Linked DNA regions of Tribolium castaneum. The protein of the gene in region 2 purifies or fractionates together with the protein of the main gene of each other region. This does not show direct contact. Links are inferred from orthologs where the notes say so. Each region holds a gene or a part of one and is shown on either strand. Other genes may lie near its edges.

Region 1 (5,163 bases), on a different chromosome or scaffold from region 2:
TTAGGGGGAAAGGCTGCGGAAAGGCTAGGCGAGCAACACAAAATACAAATTCGCACAAATAGTACACTTTTTACTTTTCATTACTTTAAAAAAGCACAATTTGTGATTTTTTACGGTTTTTCAAAGTATGAAAATCCCAGTGACAGTGCTAGTGACAAGTAATGACAAACATAGCACGCTTAATTAATATTTTTTTTCACTATTATGCAATTTTCTGTAACAAAGATTAATTAAACATCATAAAAACATAGATTTTTGTTTCATTTAGATAAAAATATTTCGTACAAATTTTAATAATTTCACATTTTTGGTGGAGGCGCCGGGCTAGAAATATTTTTTAAAAGTTGTGTCACTATGATAGTTTTGAACAAAATGGGTTTTGAACACATGCTTTGAATTAGAAATTAACGCTGAAAGCAACTCAAACAGTTATATCACCATTTTACGTTACAAATTTTTTTTAAATAAAAAAATTAGGGGACTGAGAGAGGTAGGACTACGGAGATTTAAAGGCTAGGATACGAAGCCACCTACAAATAAAACGTTCCTCTCCCTGATAGTTCCGTTAAGGTCGCTAGAGAACGCAGTTGTTTTCATAAGAATGGGCAATCAATTAAAAAAAAAGGTTTTATTTGTTTTATTGTTAGCACATAGCATACAAAAAATACGTAAATAGTACGACTTATGTATCTCGTTTCGTCTCATAAGTTACAGTTCTCCATAGAAAAGGCATGATCAAATAATAACAAAAAACAGGCAAATAATTAAAAATACGTTTATTTGGTTTTTATTTAATTTCGTCATTAGTGTTATCAGGAGTTTCTTTTGGTGCGTCTTCTTTTCCACCCTCCTTCCGATCTTCTGTATTTTCTTCCTTTGTAGGCTTACTGTCTTCACTTGGCGTTTGTTCTTCGTTCTTTTTCTCACATTCTTCACTTTCAACTTCTTCACTGCTACTACTGTCGGTTGCTTCACTTTGTGAAGACTTACTGCCTAACTTCGGCTTTTTTTTCATTTTTTGCTTTTTCTTTAGTCGTTTCTGTCTCTTCTTCGCCGTCCTTTCCTCCGCTTTCCTCCTGTTTTCTTCAAGTTTGGCATGATATTCGTTATCCAACTTTTCCTAAAGACTTTTTTCAAAAATAACGAAGGCATAATTCAAATTAATTACCCTTTCGCCCTTTTCTTTCATGTATCTTTGTCTCGCGTACTCTTTTCTCCTTAAGTGTCTATAGACGTGGAACTCCCCAGAACCAGCCCCAGCGCTGCTCCCCATGACATTACGTACAAAATCAGGCACCACGGGAACCCCCCGCTCTTTGGGCCTTTCGGGGATGATCACCTCTTTCTCCTACACAATTTATAACAATGCTAACAACTCTCAGGGGCCACTTACCGGGTTTTTCATCAGTTTTTCCAGTTTGAGTCTTTGCAAGTCCGTGGAGTTGCGTATGACTATGGGCTTGTGGTCGCGCTCGATTTCCATATCGGGGCTGCTATCGCGGTCCCCCGGTGTGTTTTTTGCCATTTTTTTCAAGTTTTTGTCGTTAAAGTAACCTAACTTTCTGTTTACGAATCGTTTGACGTGAAATTAGGTGGTGAAAGGTCAGAGGTGCCACTCTGGTGAAAGGCGAAAATCCCTAACACAGCCTTGTCTTTGTGCTCGAAAATGTCACTGCGCGATAAAAACTTGCAATAAATTTGGTAAAAAACCCCTCGTAAAAAATGTAAATCCCGTGCGTGGTGTCGGTGCGATCGAACTGGTCCGATTCGGGTGCAAAAAATGTGGTAGAATTGGTACGATTTGCGTTAGTTCTTGAGCTAGTTTCACGCCCACAAATTTTGACATATCTTCACCCAGTAAATGAAAATCGCTCTAAAACCCCAAATCGTTGCGTTTTAGGTGAGTTGGTTGTGTTGTAGCGCGTTGTGGAGTGTCAGTGTGCTGCTTTGGTCGGCTGTCAATTAATCTCGTTGCCCCCACTTGACCCCAGGCGATGGTCGTTGTAAGCGGGATCTGGGTGAAGAATGTGGCCGCATACCCAACCCCCATGGTAAAGAGCAGCAACGCCAAGATGCTCGCCAAAGCCGTGCTCATCTGCCGCCCCAACTCGCACCCCTTCCAGGAGCGCACCCTTCTGCTGGACCAGCCGGTCAAGGTGGGGCGCTCGGTGGCGAAGGCCAAAGCCACCTGCGCCAACGCCATCTTCGACTGCAAGGTGCTGTCCAGGCACCATGCGGTGCTCTGGTACGAGAACGGGAAGTTTTACCTTCAGGTAGGGCCCCCTTGGGAGTGAGTTGTGACTAAAGTCCCCGGTTTAGGACACGAAGAGCAGCAACGGGACTTTCGTCAACAATAATCGCCTGGTGGCCGAGACGGAGCACCATGAGGTCAGTTCGGGGGACATTGTCCAGTTTGGGGTCGATGTCATTGAAAACAACAAGAAGGTGACCCATGGGTGCATTATCGCAACGCTTAAACTGTACATGCCTGATGGGAGGGAGGCCAAAGCCAGCCCCAGCATCGTCGAAAATAACACTGATGGTAATTGACTTGTAATTGATATTTCTTGTTTGACGTAAGAATGATAACGATAAAAGCCCAGTTTTTATTTAAAAAAAATAAACACATAATAAGGTGGAAAACGGCTCATTTTGAACCCAATTTTGATTAATTGCTCGGACTTGTAGTGATTTTTGTCGTTTTGGAGTTGGGCCAAGTCGGCAAATACTAGACTGTTTTTTTACTATTATTATTTGAATTCGGAAGGTTAAGTGGGACCACCCGTTTTTGTGCTATTTTTAACACTACATTTAAATGAAAAAATTAAACACTGTTCCGGAAAGCCTCCAAATTTTTTACCAACAATATTAAACAAATTGGTATTTCTCTTTTGTTTATAATTTGTATTTTAAAAAATCTAAATTATGTACATACTATTTTTATTTCACAACGTTTAAAAGTCAAGGAAAGTTTCTGTTGCGCATTACATTCGACTCATACAAGATGAGTTTGTTAAAAGATTTTTTTTTCTGTATCTCAATAACTAAATAACACGTTTGCTATTTTGTGTTTGGAATTTTTTTTCCAATTACGACAAATATATATGTAAAATTGTTTGATGTAAATTTATGTAAAATGATCCGCTGAATCGATTGGCGTCAAGAAAATCGCAAAATTCCCAACAGTTTTTTAGATATGAATTTTTTAAAATTTTACCTATTTTTGCTTTTATTTCCAGTTTTCTCGAAAACTGTTAGTCGGAGAACAGTAGTCTTTTTGAAAAAGATAGATAATTAAAAGAGCTTTCCAACGATAATACACTTCATGGGGTTATCTCTAATAGTTCCGGAGCTATTGCTCGAGAAATGTTCCGGGTACCCGAAATCGACCAAAATCGCGACAAAAATTGAAAAAATCAAACATCAAAAAATTGAACATATGGACTTTTTGTGGACTTTTAACAACAATTTTTAACAATTTTTTTTTCATCTCTTTGAAGGTACAAGAATACTCAGGAAATTTGAGCAAAAAAATAGAAAATTTTAAATTGCGTGAAAAATTAGTATAATAAAGGAAAAAAGCCGCTGAATCCAATGGAACAAACCGCACTTCTCTACGACTTTTAGTTTTCGAGTTATGAATTTTTTTAATGAATAAAATTTTTCACTATGACAAATGGCTACCCTAAATTTAGGCAAAAATTTTTAAATTTTTAATTCTTGTGAAAAATCGATATAATATGTAAAATGAGCCGTAGAATTCAACCGAACAAACCGCAATGCTCTACGACTTTTAGTTTTTTTTTTATGAATTTTTTTAGTGAAAAACTTTGATCGCCTCTGTAGCCGGAACCGTTGCCCGGAGCGGCTCCGGGTTTGGTCGAGAAATTAGACAAAATTAAGCGCTATCAGATGGTTTTTTGTTCGTTGCTCTAAGTCTTACAGTTTCCGAGAAAAACGCAAAAAAAGGTTTCCATTTTCACTTTTTTTCAATTTTTAATCGCCAATTACGGCGAAACTATTAAAGATATAGAGAAACGGAAAAATGGAGGATAACCGGAATAAAAAACTCTACAAAATGGCATAGGACTTAAGGCGATATCTCGCAAAAAAAATTTCAATTTTCAAACGCCGATTACGGCCAAACTAAAAGAGCTAGAAGAAAACGGTTTGTTCGATCGTAAAGAGCACATCAAAATCTATAGGATAGAATAGGTTTTATTTGATTTTGAGACACTTTAAAAATTGACCAATTTTAAGGGGGGGGTGTTAACTTTTTTTTAATTTTTTTTATTTTCTCATTTACGGCTAAACTATTGTAAAAAGTGGAACTGTTTTGATCCATATCTATGCAAAATGATCCGGGGAATCGATTGGCATCGAGAAAATTGCCAAATTCCCAATAGTTTTTTAGTTATGAATTTTTTAAAATTTTACCAATTTTTGCATTTAGCAGCAATTTGCTCGAAAACTATTAGTCGGAGAACAATAATCTTTTTTGAAAAAAATAGATAATTTAAAGAGCTTTCCAACGATAATACACTTGATGGGGTTATCTCTAATAGTTCCGGAGCTATTGCTCGAGAAATGTTCCGGGTACCCGAAATCGACCAAAATCGCGACAAAAATTGAAAAAATCAAACATCAAAAAATTGAACATATGGACTTTTTGTGGACTTTTAACAACTTTAGTGAGTTGTTAAGACATATAGAAGTCCATAAAAATTTGCTGGAGTGAGTTTAAAAAAAATTTTTTTTTCATCTCTTTGAAGGTAAGTAGTGTAGTACTCAGGAAATTTGAGCAAAAAAGAATGAAAATTTTAAATTGCGTGAAAAATTAGTATAATAAAGAAAAAAAGCCGCTGAATCCAATAGAACAAACCGCACTGCTCTACGACTTTTAGTTTTCGAGTTATGAATTTTTTTAATGAATAAAATTTTTCACTATGACAAATGGCTACCCTAAATTTAGGCAAAAATTTTTAAATTTTTAATTCTTGTGAAAAATCGATATAATATGTAAAATGAGCCGTAGAATTCAACCGAACAAACCGCAATGCTCTACGACTTTTAGTTTTTTTTTATGAATTTTTTTAGTGAAAAACTTTGATCGCCTCTGTAGCCGGAATCGTTGCCCGGAGCGGCTCCGGGTTTGGTCGAAAA
Region 2 (3,599 bases):
CATGTGGCACCCTTGTATTACTACCCTGGCGATGTTTACGATTATTTCAACGCCAACTTTTCGCTAAACTACTGGATCGAGAAAGGGGCGGACCCAGGAAAAATCGTGATGGGCATGCCCCTCTACGGCCAAAGTTTCAGTCTGGCTGACGCGGCCGATAGGGGCCTTAACGCCAAGTCGTACGGCCCTGGAGAAGCCGGGGAGTTTACCCGAGCTGGTGGTTTCCTAGCCTACTATGAGGTTTGTCAACTTTGTGAAAAAACAATCAACTGTTGTGATATTTTCAGATTTGTGAACGGGTGAAGAAGAGGGGTTGGACGGTGACGAGGGACCCTCAAGGTCGCATTGGTCCATATGCCTATTTGTCGAACCAATGGGTGTCGTACGATGATATCGCCGAAATCCGGCGCAAGTCGCGATTGGTCAAGGCGTTGAAACTGGGCGGGGGCATGGTCTGGGCTTTGGATTTGGACGATTTTAAGAACAGGTGTGGGTGTGGCAAACACCCGCTCTTGAAGACTTTAAACAATGAGTTGAGAGGGACGCCCTCTGATATCAGCGTGACTAATTGTACTTAAGTGTGATTGATGCTTATATGAAATATTTCTCTTCTTTGAGTCGTCACGACGGCGAAAAGGATACGATAATATTTTTTCGGTTTCCTATGTATTTTTAAGGTTGTGTAAGAATAAAACACGTTTTAAAACATTTTCCTTTTTTTATTAATACAAAAGCAGATTTAAAATACATAATTTCTCCCAGAATCTTCGGCAGAAATGGTGGTTGCTCCAGGTCTTTTTCTAAAGCCAACATAAGCAATAAAACTGGAAGGTATTTGGCCCACATTTTCAAGGTTATGTAAGAATAACACACGTTTGAAACCATTTTACTTTATTATTTAAAACATTTGCGAATTTTCTTCACATTGAAAAAATGGTGGATGCGCCGGGTCATTTATTTTAAATCAAATTAAACAAGGTTTCGTGATTTATTTTGTAAGTATGGTGGTCTAATACTAAAGAGTTACTGTATGTACACTCTCAGCTTTTGGTTACTTCCATGAGATTCCATAATATTAGTTGTAGAAAGAAAGTCGACTTTAGGAAGTGGTAGTTGTTTAAAAACTTTTCGTGTTCTTGTGATCTTAGTCTCTTGATAGTTGATAGACCACCTTCGTAGTGGTCTCAATATTTTTTGCCGCAATTTTAGTGTTTTTAGATAGGGAAAAGGAGGTGGGTGTAATGAAAGGCAGTTGTTATGCAATAATTTTAAACGCTTTATTTTCTATTTATAATATATATTTTTTATAACAGTGTGTTAACAATGCAATATAATTATGTATAATAAATTTCGTAAGTATTTCACATTTTAAGACTCTATTTTGAAACTTGTTCTATCTAAGAAAAGTTAGAAGTAATTTGACTTTTTTGTATTTGTTATTAAAAACCATACATTTGCATAAATTTCCGCATTGAGATAATTCACAGCACAACAAGAAATGATATCAACAACCCAACAGAACAATAATATATCCAACCAACATCTTCCATATACAAATAAAATAAAAATAAAGCACATCATCACAAAAACGGGTTCGTCAGCTCCCTTCAAACCCACACGCAGTGAAATAAATATAGATTTTTAGCAATTTATTTGTACTTGAGCTATCTATAAAAATAAATATATCCTACCCACGGGAAAATCTATACAATATCTGCATAGGCAAGAGGAAGAAATCTGCCCTTGAAGAGAAACAAAAAGTAAAAACAAATAATTTTAAATCAGATCAATTCCCACTACTGACGCTGTGCAATTCCGGCTCAACCTAACCTATACCTAGTCACCGTCTACGCATCGCGTCGCTTCGACACGACCTTTAAACCTTCGCTATTCGTCGTCGGTGTCATACTCGCTCAAATAATCCTGAATGGGGATTGGTCGAGCGAACGGAGCCGACGTCATCTGACTGCAAGCAACCAATCAGATCGCAAGCTCCGCCTAGACGCCAACGCCTACTTACATCAAGCGGCGGTAGTGGTTCAGCCATTCCTCGACCATTTGAGCAACTAGCAGAGGGCGCTTGTGCAGCAGCTGTTGAGCCACCAAGATCCCGCCCTCCGTCTCGCACACGTCCAGCCATTGGCGCAGGATCGTCTCTTCGCGGCCCAACTAACCAATCAAACCGTCACAAAAATTCGCACACTGACAACGGCCTACCTCAGATTCGGTGAGGAAGTGGATGGGGAGCAGCTTCCGGTCCCGGTCCATCAGCGGCAGGAAGGTGCTCTGCAGCTGGTCGGCGCCGATGTTCGAGTGCTGGGGCGACGGCCGCGTGTCTAGCCTGCTGTACGGCTCCAGCGGGACCAGGGCCGAGAAGTGGCCGCGGGTGTAGCCCAGGGCGATGGGTGTGCGTACGCAGAAGCTCTGCTCCCACAGCAGGGGCAAGTACACGCCCTCGAAGCGGGCGTAACCGAGCGCCTCGCCGCGGAAACTCTTCACGTATTTCACTCCGTATACGATTATAGGGCGGCGCAAAATATGAGCTAAGGTAAAAACGTGCAATTGTTCTAAACTAGTCCCCGGCTGGCTGGCCAGCGACAACAAACTCGTCCAGTCCTCGTCCCACTGCGCCTCGTCCAGGGAGTACTGGAGGAAGGAGGCCTGACTTGCCTCGTACTCCTTCCATCGGGGGTAAAACCTGGACAAAAGCAAAAGTAAAAAATCCTGATTTAAAATTCTTGTAATAATCGTCGCTATGAGTTAATAAAGCGGGATTAAAGAAGAGGAATTTTTTATACAACTCGACCTAAGAGCGAGCTAAACCGCAACCACAGAATCTAAAGATTGTGGAATATAATAATTAAAAGCACCACTGAAATCTGTGGCAAAATAAAATATCACTGAAAGTATCTAAAAAAAGGCAAATTTGTTAAATTGTAAAGACGTGCATTAATGTGATATTCTACAATTTGACGTTTTTTATTTGATTGCGTGGTGTGGGAGATTTGATCATATGATTATACTACTAGGAGAAAAAAAAATTGAATTAAAATCTTCTAGAGTTGATTCTTGAGTTATAGAAAAAATAACTCGATATAAATATTGTTTAATTTGTTCCACAAAAAATAATAACTGAGGCAAAGAACATGAATGTATTAAAAATTATATTAGGATTTGAATTAATCAAAAATTAAAAATTGTATTTCTCATAAAAGCTTAAGCGATATGGAACAATCAATAATAGTTGAAATATGTAGAAAACAATGAGTGTGTTAACCATTTATTAACAAAAAATTGTAAAAAATTGAATGACTTGACAACGAAAACGAAATTTCCTACTTGGCAAGGAACACATTTATAGAAAAATACTTTGAAAATGTGGCCTGCTATTAAAGCAATAATATTCTAAAAAAAAAAGGGAAAAAATTCCATTTATGATAAAATATTTAATTTAAGCGAGATCTACAAAAGGCTCTTTATCATGTACTTGGTTAGTATAAATAATGCGATAAATATTTTTGCAAGGCACACGTTTTAGAGCAAGTCGGATGTTTGAAAATACATATTTTAAAGATAATTATAATTTTACCAAAAAAAAT
Region 3 (5,227 bases), on a different chromosome or scaffold from region 2:
GGATGTTCACGCCGTACCTACTCTTATACTTAAGCTATCAATATATGCATATACACACTTTTTAATACTACTTTGTACAAGTAAACACTTTACATTATGTACAGATAGTTTGTCTACTATTTATTACATTTATATTTTTCTTTTCTAAACATAACTAGTGTTAAACGTAGATTGTTGGTTTGCATAAATGGTCAGGCGAGTCATAATACCAAAAAAAAATTTATTTTGTATAAAAAATACAACCAAATTTAAGTAGCTCAATTCAAGATAACAATACTTGTCCCTAAATATAAAAGCAAAAATAATTAATTAAATAAAATGCAATACACATCAATTTCGCACGAAAAATATGATACAACGAGATATTTCAGTCACAATTAGAGATTTATATTAAAATTTAGTACACGTAGCCGTCTCATAGTCTTGCTCCGCCCCAAGAAAAGTTACTGGGCTAAAGTTGCAGTGCCAAAGTAAAAAAATAACTCTAACAACTCATGCACTATTCAAGTATAGATTTAATTTTGTAATTATCACATAAGAAGTGGACTTCTGAGGTCAATTCTGATTATCGTCAGACCCCAACCTGTCAACAAATAAATTATATTATTATTCCTAAGTATTATTGCTAGTTGCCATAGTAACAAACATTTGTTGAAAATCGGCAAGCTCTTGACCTAAGATTTCTATTCCTTGAGAGCCACTACGACTTGATTCGCCGGAAGATGGCGCTGCTTCCTTATTACCGGCACTGCTTGTTTTTTTTTTCTCGGATTCGTTACCGTCCGGTCGTCGAGCTGGCGTTTGTTTGCAGGGAATGACAGGTTTGTTTGGGGGAATTGGGGGAGGAACGCCACGCCCGGCCACAGCCCCCTTCTTGGGAGGGGTTTGGGGGGCAGAGGGCGACTGGTATTGGGCGTGAAATGCTGGTTTAGGTTGAGATCGAGTCACTGGTGGCTGCGTTGAAGGGCCCGCATTTGCCATCAACTGAAATTCTTTATCTGATCAATCTTATTCATTAATTCATTATCAAAGCGGCCTGCGAAGTTTGAATTTCATAGCTAATGTCACTTAATTTCAAAGTCACAGGTCACTTTACTATCAGCGTATCTTGACAGTGTTGCCAGTTCAAAAATATACTATAATCCACCACACCCGAAAAAGTTGCACCTAATATTCACCTTATTATAAGTTTTCATTTATATCTTTCTAATAATGCACAAGGTATTTTAGTAAAGGGTTCCAAAAAACACCATTTTTGGCTAGCTAAATTTTGTGATTTTGTCTTATTTGCCTGAAAAAATGAACAGCCAAGGCTACTTGTTTTGTAAAAGAAAATCGTCTGCTTTTTTGATTCAAAAACGAAGTAAATCGATCAAAATAAGCTGAAATAAGAGTTAATTTCGTGAGTTTTCACAGTTTAAATGAAAATTTTCGACGAAAATCATCAAGTCTGGCAACACTGGTGGTGAACGGCATTACCTTAGTTGTTGCCATTTGCACCGGGGGCGCTATTGCTGTCTGACGCAAAGCCTGGCCTGGTGTTACAGACTGTGCAATGCCCGTGGCTGCAATAATTGATTAGCAAAAAGATAATTAAAAAAACTATATAATTACTAGGGCCTGAAACTGGAACACTTGAAACAGTTGCCGTCGGTTGTACCACCTTAGCTACACTACTAATCATAGGAGCTGCACTATCACAAGATACGTTAGTTCGAGTTTTTAATAATTCATAATCAGCTTTTAATTTTTGTAATTCAGCCTCCAATTCTTGACATCTAAAGATGAAAAATAATATATTAACATACCAGCTAAGCTGCAAAAAACGGCCATTCACTGATCACTCGATCAGCGAGTGGAATAGCACACGATTGCTTGGAGGATCTTTAATTAGGCAAAATTGTTTACCTAGCTTCCTTAATGGCAAGTTGTTGAGTTAGTGATTTTTTGTCAGCTTCAAAAACGTGTAGTTGTTTTTCAAGTTCAGCCTCCATTTGAAGTGATTTTTTGCTTTCTTCCTCTAAACCTTCAGCCATGCTGTCAATCCTTGACTTTTCTTCAGATAATATCTAAAATTTTGCAAATATTGGTCAGTATTAAGACACTAAAGCTAAATTACTTGTGCTAAATCTTCACTCCTTTTTCTCTCCTCGATATATTTCACTATAATTTTTTTCCTTTCAGCCAACAAAAGCAGAACAATTTGTTTTTGTCTTGCTCTTTCTTCGTCAGCCATTTCTAATTGTTTTTTAACTTCTTTTTCTAGTTTTTTCCTTGCAGACCTCTCCATTTCCAATTCTTGTCTTAACCTAGTCCTCTCCATTTCTAAACCATAAGTAATATCATCACCTTGAGCAGTGTCATGTTCGTGTTTACATTTTTCTTCTTCTAGTTCTTGTATGACTTTCCTATGTTTTGCTTCGGCTTCTTTTAATATATTTATCATATGTTGATGAGCTCGTCTTTGTTGAAGCGCTAATTGTTCTAGTGCTTGCAACTGTTGTTCAGCTGCAACAGCCATTTCCTGTTCACTGACAACAGGTTTTGCATTTGGTCCATCGGCAATACTGTCTCTAAGTAAAGCTATGTAGGGATCAGACGCCACAGCGGGTCTATAACGTCCTACATTCACTACTTGTTTCAACCTCTCAGACTAAATAAAAAAAGTTAGTAGTAGAAAAGGCTTAAAGAGAGTCGGGTACCTTCAAGGTAGCAATCGCGATGTCTCTAGCTTGGATCTCACCTTCAAAATACGTGACTAATTTAAGAAGATCGTTTTTAGATAGCTCCATTTTTGGATTTCTCTGTTTGAAAAATAAAACTAGAATTGTGACCAATACATTTTACGTGAACAACCTTAAGAGTATTACTGCCGACACTAGTCCTGTCTAATTGTTCAAACTGATTTGGATCTGAGGAAGCCCCTGGCTGTTGTTGTTGCTGTTGTTCCGGAACACAACTTAAGGCGCCCCCAAATCCCATTCCTAAGCCACTCAACCATCCATTCTGCTGATTGTTATTAGAAGCCATGTTGACGGATTTTTTCCTGCTTCCCTAATTTCAGAGACTTTTCCGCTAAAACATCGGAGGATCTACCATTTTTTCGATCGATAATTGTTTTATTATCGACATTATATTTCAAACGTATCGTTCAATCAATTTACAACTTGGAAAACACTCTTATAGGTTAACGTGAACAATCGATTAATTTATACTCACATAACCAACACAACTCCTCTTTTAGGGAATTTCGTCTTAAGATTTTTTGCTCACACGACAGCAAATTTCCCCAAAAATTACAATCGCTCAATCAGGGAGTGTTCACTCTTCAAAAAAAGCCAGGAGTGGGGATGTTAGTTAGTGGTAACATCACCGAAGCGCTGACAAGCAATCAAGAGAGATAAAATATATTACTGTCTTAATCATTTAAAAAATTTGTTGTTTGCCGTCTCCAACGGTTCACACTTGAGTACTGTTAAAATGGTGTGTCTCTGGTTGTGATGGAACACAGAATCAATGAAACTATTAAATTTGTCGCAACCCTTCGATACTTAATTGTATCTTAAGGCGTCTGTTGAACACATGCGTCACGCACTTGGATGAACAAAAGCACATTTTTACAACCGACACTGATTTATGCTGATTTATGCGACATGTAAAACCCAAAGTTTCGTGTGTCGGGTGTAAAACTGTGTTTTTGTTCAAATATATTTGATAGAATTGTCAAATACCGGATGGGTTTGAATTTCCCTCCAAGCGATTTAACTAGCGCTTACGTGACATTACCAGTAACTAGAATGTACAATTTGTGGTGGGGACGGCAGAGTCGCCAATCTACAGCCACTAAATATCTATAATCTATGGCTCAATGTCGACATAAAAACTGGATCCTTCTAGTTCCATATTCTCTGCATAGCGTCACTCGCGTTATTAATTATTAATATTATTATCAATAGAAAAATACATGTTGCGTAATACAAAAATAATACAATGTAGAAGATAGCACCAAAAACGGTGCTGGCACCATGAACATTAGAGTCGACCAGACAATCGCTGCCGCCATGCAGCTAAAACCACAGAACAGAAAGGGTTAAGAAGTGATAATTCCCTAGTAAATCACTGGCAACACGAGAATCCAGCGCCTCTGGTGCTGAAGTGCGTTACTACCACGGTAAAGTGCCACGTTTGAATAAATTCCTTTTATATTGTTTTTTATTATTTTTATCTTACAAGTTTCATTGCAAATTGTTTAAAATAAAAAAATATATTTTCATTTTAAACAAAATGAAAACGTTTTATATTTATTTTAAACAAAATTTGAAATGAAACTTACAAAAAAAGTTGTTTTGGGGTAATAAAACACAGATTTTGTTAACATTTTTATTGTACACTTGAGTAACATAACAAATTAAATTTTTCAAAAAATTAAAGTATTGTATTATTTCTTAATTATACAAAAATTATAAAAAAATTAAATCAGTCAGTGTTGGCATGTTTTGCCTGTCTGCTCGAGACTTAAAACAAAATAAGGTCTGCTTTGCAATGACTTTTACCTTGTCTGTCAGCAAACAGTTGCCCACGCTACGACCACGAGGAGGTACATGCAGTGCACTGACACACTCGAGCGCAAATAAGAAACTTAAAAGTAAATTCTGAAATACCCTAAATAGCGAAAACGCCAAAATTTTGAACTTACAGGATCCTCAATTTTGCAGGCATTCCTCCACAATTCTTGAAGCTTTGGATTCTTAGGGAAGGTGAAGAAATGCTTATTGGACTGTCCTTTGTTGGGAACATAATCACTGGTGCATCCGGGGTATTTGCAGGAATATTTGCGATAACCAGCCATGACTAAAGTTCAGTTGAGTAGTAGAAATCAAAAATCCGTCACTCCAGACCAATGCCTTTAAAATAGAAAGAAACACCAATCAAAAAGATGAGGTTATATTAATAAAATAAGAGATACTTATCTTTTTGGTCGGCGCTCAACACCAGGAATTGACTCACTAACGAACTGTAATCAGAATTTTTGCTTTGATTAAACGATTAAACAAATAATTGCTACATACTTCCGGTAACACGTTGAACGATGAGTGACAAAACAACACTTTTGGCGCGATATTTTCGGTGCGATCTGCGCGCAAGCGTAGATGTCATTGTTACGTCAAAAAATATAATTTAATGAAATCCCTAATAAATACGCGCTTGTTTTAAAATAAGCAGTCGT
Region 4 (4,588 bases), on a different chromosome or scaffold from region 2:
TTCAACCGCTGGTCTTTTAGAAACGTTTGCAGCTTTAGCGAGACGACGAACTTTGGGTTCGGTCACCACGACGAACAGTTCGAACGCAAACCCGAATAATTCGGGCGCTATAACAAATTCCAACGCACAGAATAATCAGAATACGGGTTCTTTGTTTCCGAGAGGACCGAATTCGGTGTCGAGTTTGGTGCGGCTTGCTTTATCGAGTAATTTTCCTGGAGGTTTGCTTAGTACAGCTCAAAGTTATCCTAGTTTATCATCGAGTAATAACACAGCAGCTCAACAAGGGGGAATTTCGACGACTGCAGGGACGGTGCAAGGGTTGAGTCAAGCGTTGACGATGAGTCTAACGTCGACGAGCAGCGACAGCGAACAGGTGTCACTTGAGGATTTTTTGGAATCGTGTCGTGCGCCGACGCTTCTTGCTGAGTTGGACGACGATGAGGAGATGGGCGATGAAGATGATAACGACGATGATGAAAATGAAGACGACGCCGATTATGACGAAGTCATGGTTTCGAGGAATTTGTTGTCGTTTATGGAGGAAGAAGGGTTTGAAACGAGTTCAAGGCCGAGTAAGAGGCGATCATGGGATGATGAGTATGTGCTGAAAAGGCAATTTTCGGCTTTAATTCCCGCGTTTGATCCGAGACCGGGAAGGACTAACGTCAATCAGACTACAGGTATGTTATTATTTTTTACAGGACATTTGCTTGAACCATGATGTAAAATTACATTAACACTACAAGAGATTCTTTAAAGGATTCTGATTGATTAACTCGTCACTGTTTTTATAAAATGACTTTTCTCGCCTGGAATTTGTCAAGTTCAAATGATTCCCGTTTTGAACGCTACAGTTTCGGGCACATTTGTCAAACTCTGTCTTGTGTATCTTGTTTTGTTGTTTTCATTGGTTTTGTTTTGGATCATTAATTAATTAGCACAATAGCAACTCCCAAAACCGTGAATCTCCGTTTCAATGCATTATTTACAAAATATCCAGCAGGCGGGATTTGGATACATTTTATTAAGAAATATTTGACATACAACCCCACAAGATTGTTGAATTATTGTTAATTTGATGTGTATACTTCATTCGAATCTTTTAAAATTTAAATTCAGTGTTGTCAACAGGCACAGTATTTCTGGATCAGTCTGTAGATTAGATTTTTCAATAAAATAAAATAAACAAAATTTAAATAATCATCTGGTACACTAAATTGCCTACAAGTCTTAAAATTTGTTTAGATATTTTATCGGGTATAAACTGTTCGGAAAAAACTTAGGTATTTAATATACAGGGTGTAACGAAAAGATGGGGACAACGGAATCAGTTTTTTTCTTATTGTAAAATAGATACTACCTATCAATAATTTAACACATTTTGGGGCATGTTTTTATTATACGTTATCTGAATGGCTTAATTATTCAATTTATTTAAAATTTATTATTTTTGTCTCTCATAAAGTAGTATTCACAGTTGTGAATTTAAAAAAAAAATCGATTTTAACCCAATATAACTAATTAAATTACACTGTCGTTTTGTAAAATTTAACTGTTACAACATTAAATAATAATTTACTCAAAAACAGCAAAAAATGTGTGTGGTAACAAAATAAGTAAATGATTAAAAGCATGAGTCACCTGTACTATCTCAAAAATTAAAACTGATAGAAAAAATCTTTTGGCAGTTTTGAAATCATCGACCAACAATTACTTCATAGTAAAAAATCAGAGATAACTGTCAACTAATTGGCGACACTTGACACTTTTTAAATTATACTTTTATTCCAAAATCATGATCATGATGCAATAATTTATCATATAAAAATTGTTTAAAATTAATGGCCGTTTCGAATAAAAAATTGGTGCCGCTTGGATGACAAAAATATAGCTTTGAACGTTTAATGTTGTTAATAAGTACTTTACCATAACCAAAAAAAAGCAAAGGAAATAGACCCAAAACATGTGGTTTTAATCGTAAATTATTTTTATTAAATTTCATGAAAAACTCTTATTCTATTAAGAAGTTATTAAAGAAAATCGAAAATATCTATAACTTTTAAACGGTAAGTTGCGCTTTATTTTGATCTGGGAAATATCTGGTTCTCTTTTGTCCCTGTCTTTACGTTACATACTGTATTCCACGGTATCATCTACATTTTGAAATTATACGTTTATAAAGATCATATTTTTTACTAGAAGATTTTGCTGATCATTTCACAGAGACTTTTTTAGTTTTTTTATTAAAAAAATTCACAACTCTAAAACGACACGTCTTATAACAAAGCGGTTTGTTCCATCGAATTCTACGGATTATTTTACGTATCACACTTAGGTTTGCCGATTGTTTGCCGTAATTGAGAAAATAAAAAAATTGAAAATTTTTCAGAGAAACAATATTTGGATTTTTGAAATTATTTGCCTAAAATTATAGTGGTCGTTTCACAGAGGCACTACAATCTAGAACGGCTTGCTAGTAGTTCTGTATTGTAATCTGTAATATACTTTTTCTGGTTTATGTGCAGTATAAAGTATAATTAAAAATTCTCTAAACTAAATTTTTCGGTGAATGGAAAATAAATACACGGGGAAAAATACTGCGTTATCGACTTACGCCTTAATCTCTGCTCCTTGCGAATTAACAATTCAATTTCATTCTCTTGCATAAAAAATGACAATTTTCTTTATTTACAATTAATGCAGATTTGGAAGTACCACCGCCTGGACAAGAAGAAAACGGTTCTTATTTAGAACACGAATTGTTGCCACAACCGAAATTGCAACTAGTGTTGAGGGGTCCAAATATGCCGGGAATTCCCGACGTTGAAATCGAATTAAACGATCCGTCTTGGACCATATTTAGAGCGGTTCAAGAGTTGATGCAAATGACCGAATTCGGTTCAAAACAAGAGAAACTGAGACGGATTTGGGAACCCACATATATGTAAGTTAATTCCATGCTAAAATGTTTCAATTATTTATTATTTCGTGTTTAAAGAATTGTATATCGCGAATTAAAAGACGATGGAACTTACGATTCGGAAGAGGGTCGTGCCACTCCTGTTGTCCTTTATTCCCGAAGTGGAAGTAGTTCAGTTGCTGGTACCACCCTTTCACCCAGTACTCCTGTTCCTGGAACACCATCAGTCTCAAATTGTACCGTCGAAGACGTCCTTCAGTTACTACGTCATCTTTTTGTAATCACAACAACAAAAGAGAACGATTTGAATTCGTTAGACAACAACATCGAAATCACTCCCGACCAATATACTAGCAAAAAGATCACAAACAAGCTATTGCAACAAATCCAAGACCCGTTGGTACTGTCGAGTTCTAGTTTACCGGCATGGTGTGAAGAGTTGAATCATTCGTGTCCGTTTTTATTCCCGTTCGAAACTCGCCACTTGTATTTCAATTGTACCGCATTTGGAGCGTCTCGAAGTATAGTCTGGTTGCAAACCCAGCGTGATGTCACAATGGAAAGGCAAAGAACCACGGGTTTGTCACCACGTCGCGACGAACCACATGAGTTTAGAGTAGGGCGTTTGAAACACGAAAGGGTGAAAGTTCCTAGAGGTGAAGAGATTCTGAGTTGGGCAATGCAAGTTATGAAAATCCATTCGGATAGAAAATCAATACTTGAAGTAGAGTTTTTGGGAGAGGAAGGTACAGGACTGGGCCCAACTTTAGAATTCTATGCTTTGGTCGCTGCCGAATTACAGAGGAGGGATTTAGGGATGTGGATTTGTGACGATGATGCCATTGATATGCAAGAAATTGTTGATCTAGGTGAGGGTGTTAAACCTCCCGGATACTACGTGCGGCGAGTGTCGGGTCTATTCCCTGCACCTTTGCCGCAAAATTCTGAAATTTGTGATAAGGCCGTTAAGTATTTCTGGTTTTTGGGCGTGTTTCTCGCGAAAGTTTTGCAAGATAATCGTTTAGTTGACTTGCCGTTGAGTCAGAGTTTCTTGAAATTGATGTGTCATGGAGAGATTCAGAACACAGTCAATGAACGGATTGGATTTGCGGGTGTTAAAAAATCGAGCGAGGATGATATTATGACTTCGAGTTTGATCTCGGAAGAGAGTGAGAAAGAGTTGGAGTTGGATCCGCCTAAAATGATTATTGAGGATAAAAAACCGTGGTATTTGAATATTCTCGGTGAAGAGGATCTCCATGATATTGACTACATCAGAGCGAATTTCTTGAAACAGATTAGGGAATTAGTGAAACAGAAACATAAAGTAATGCAAGATCATAATCTTTCGCCCGAAGCGAAAACACATCAAATACAAAATATGTGCTTGAATCACGCTTCTGGGCCTGTGCTCTTAGAAGATTTAGCTTTGACGTTCACATACGCGCCTAGTTCTAGTGCTTTCGGCTTTTCGGCTGTCGAATTAGTGTCGAACGGAGCCGATATTGAAGTTAATATAGAAAATATAGAGGAATATGCGGAATTGACAACGTCGTTCTGCTTAGATAAAGGTATAGCTAGACAACTCGAAGCGTTCCATAAAGGCTTCTGTACGGTGTTCCCTATGGAGAAGTTGGCTGCTTTTAGTCCAGACGAAATGAGGAT

The links.
Region 1: the proteins of trbd (region 2) and Slmap purify together in Homo sapiens (affinity purification with mass spectrometry; 3 studies listed by BioGRID and IntAct, with this or other methods). This does not show direct contact. The link is inferred for Tribolium castaneum from reciprocal best matches to the Homo sapiens genes ZRANB1 and SLMAP.
Region 3: the proteins of trbd (region 2) and Naus purify together in Homo sapiens (affinity purification with mass spectrometry; 4 studies listed by BioGRID and IntAct, with this or other methods). This does not show direct contact. The link is inferred for Tribolium castaneum from reciprocal best matches to the Homo sapiens genes ZRANB1 and CTTNBP2NL.
Region 4: the proteins of trbd (region 2) and Ufd4 purify together in Homo sapiens (affinity purification with mass spectrometry; 5 studies listed by BioGRID and IntAct, with this or other methods). This does not show direct contact. The link is inferred for Tribolium castaneum from reciprocal best matches to the Homo sapiens genes ZRANB1 and HECTD1.

What each region holds. Positions count from the first base shown.
Region 1 is NC_087399.1:2,655,176-2,660,338, reverse strand, and holds the start of Slmap (sarcolemmal membrane-associated protein), read left to right. Parts: upstream 1-1,654; 5' UTR 1,655-1,794; exon of another isoform or gene 1,795-1,900; 5' UTR 1,901-1,994; coding exon 1,995-2,273; intron 2,274-2,319; coding exon 2,320-2,542; intron 2,543-5,163. Other genes in the region: PRKR-interacting protein 1 homolog, read right to left, coding at 788-1,120, 1,169-1,348, 1,394-1,525. UniProt on the Homo sapiens protein: Associates with the striatin-interacting phosphatase and kinase (STRIPAK) core complex, forming the extended (SIKE1:SLMAP)STRIPAK complex.
Region 2 is NC_087395.1:24,403,341-24,406,939, forward strand, and holds the end of trbd (ubiquitin thioesterase trabid), read right to left. Parts: intron 2,699-3,599; coding exon 2,218-2,698; intron 2,170-2,217; coding exon 2,021-2,169; intron 1,967-2,020; coding exon 1,888-1,966; 3' UTR 1,256-1,887; downstream 1-1,255. Other genes in the region: Cht10 (chitinase 10), read left to right, coding at 1-240, 288-578. UniProt on the Homo sapiens protein: Ubiquitin thioesterase, which specifically hydrolyzes 'Lys-29'-linked and 'Lys-33'-linked diubiquitin. Also cleaves 'Lys-63'-linked chains, but with 40-fold less efficiency compared to 'Lys-29'-linked ones.
Region 3 is NC_087403.1:7,345,955-7,351,181, forward strand, and holds Naus (CTTNBP2 N-terminal-like protein), read right to left. Parts: upstream 3,245-5,227; 5' UTR 3,031-3,244; coding exon 2,857-3,030; intron 2,805-2,856; coding exon 2,703-2,804; intron 2,654-2,702; coding exon 2,120-2,653; intron 2,070-2,119; coding exon 1,909-2,069; intron 1,779-1,908; coding exon 1,615-1,778; intron 1,566-1,614; coding exon 1,480-1,565; intron 985-1,479; coding exon 613-984; 3' UTR 584-612; coding exon of another isoform or gene 556-583; 3' UTR 204-555; downstream 1-203. UniProt on the Homo sapiens protein: Regulates lamellipodial actin dynamics in a CTTN-dependent manner. Associates with core striatin-interacting phosphatase and kinase (STRIPAK) complex to form CTTNBP2NL-STRIPAK complexes.
Region 4 is NC_087402.1:10,959,537-10,964,124, reverse strand, and holds part of Ufd4 (E3 ubiquitin-protein ligase Ufd4), read left to right. Parts: coding exon 1-683; intron 684-2,706; coding exon 2,707-2,947; intron 2,948-3,001; coding exon 3,002-4,588. UniProt on the Homo sapiens protein: E3 ubiquitin-protein ligase which accepts ubiquitin from an E2 ubiquitin-conjugating enzyme in the form of a thioester and then directly transfers the ubiquitin to targeted substrates.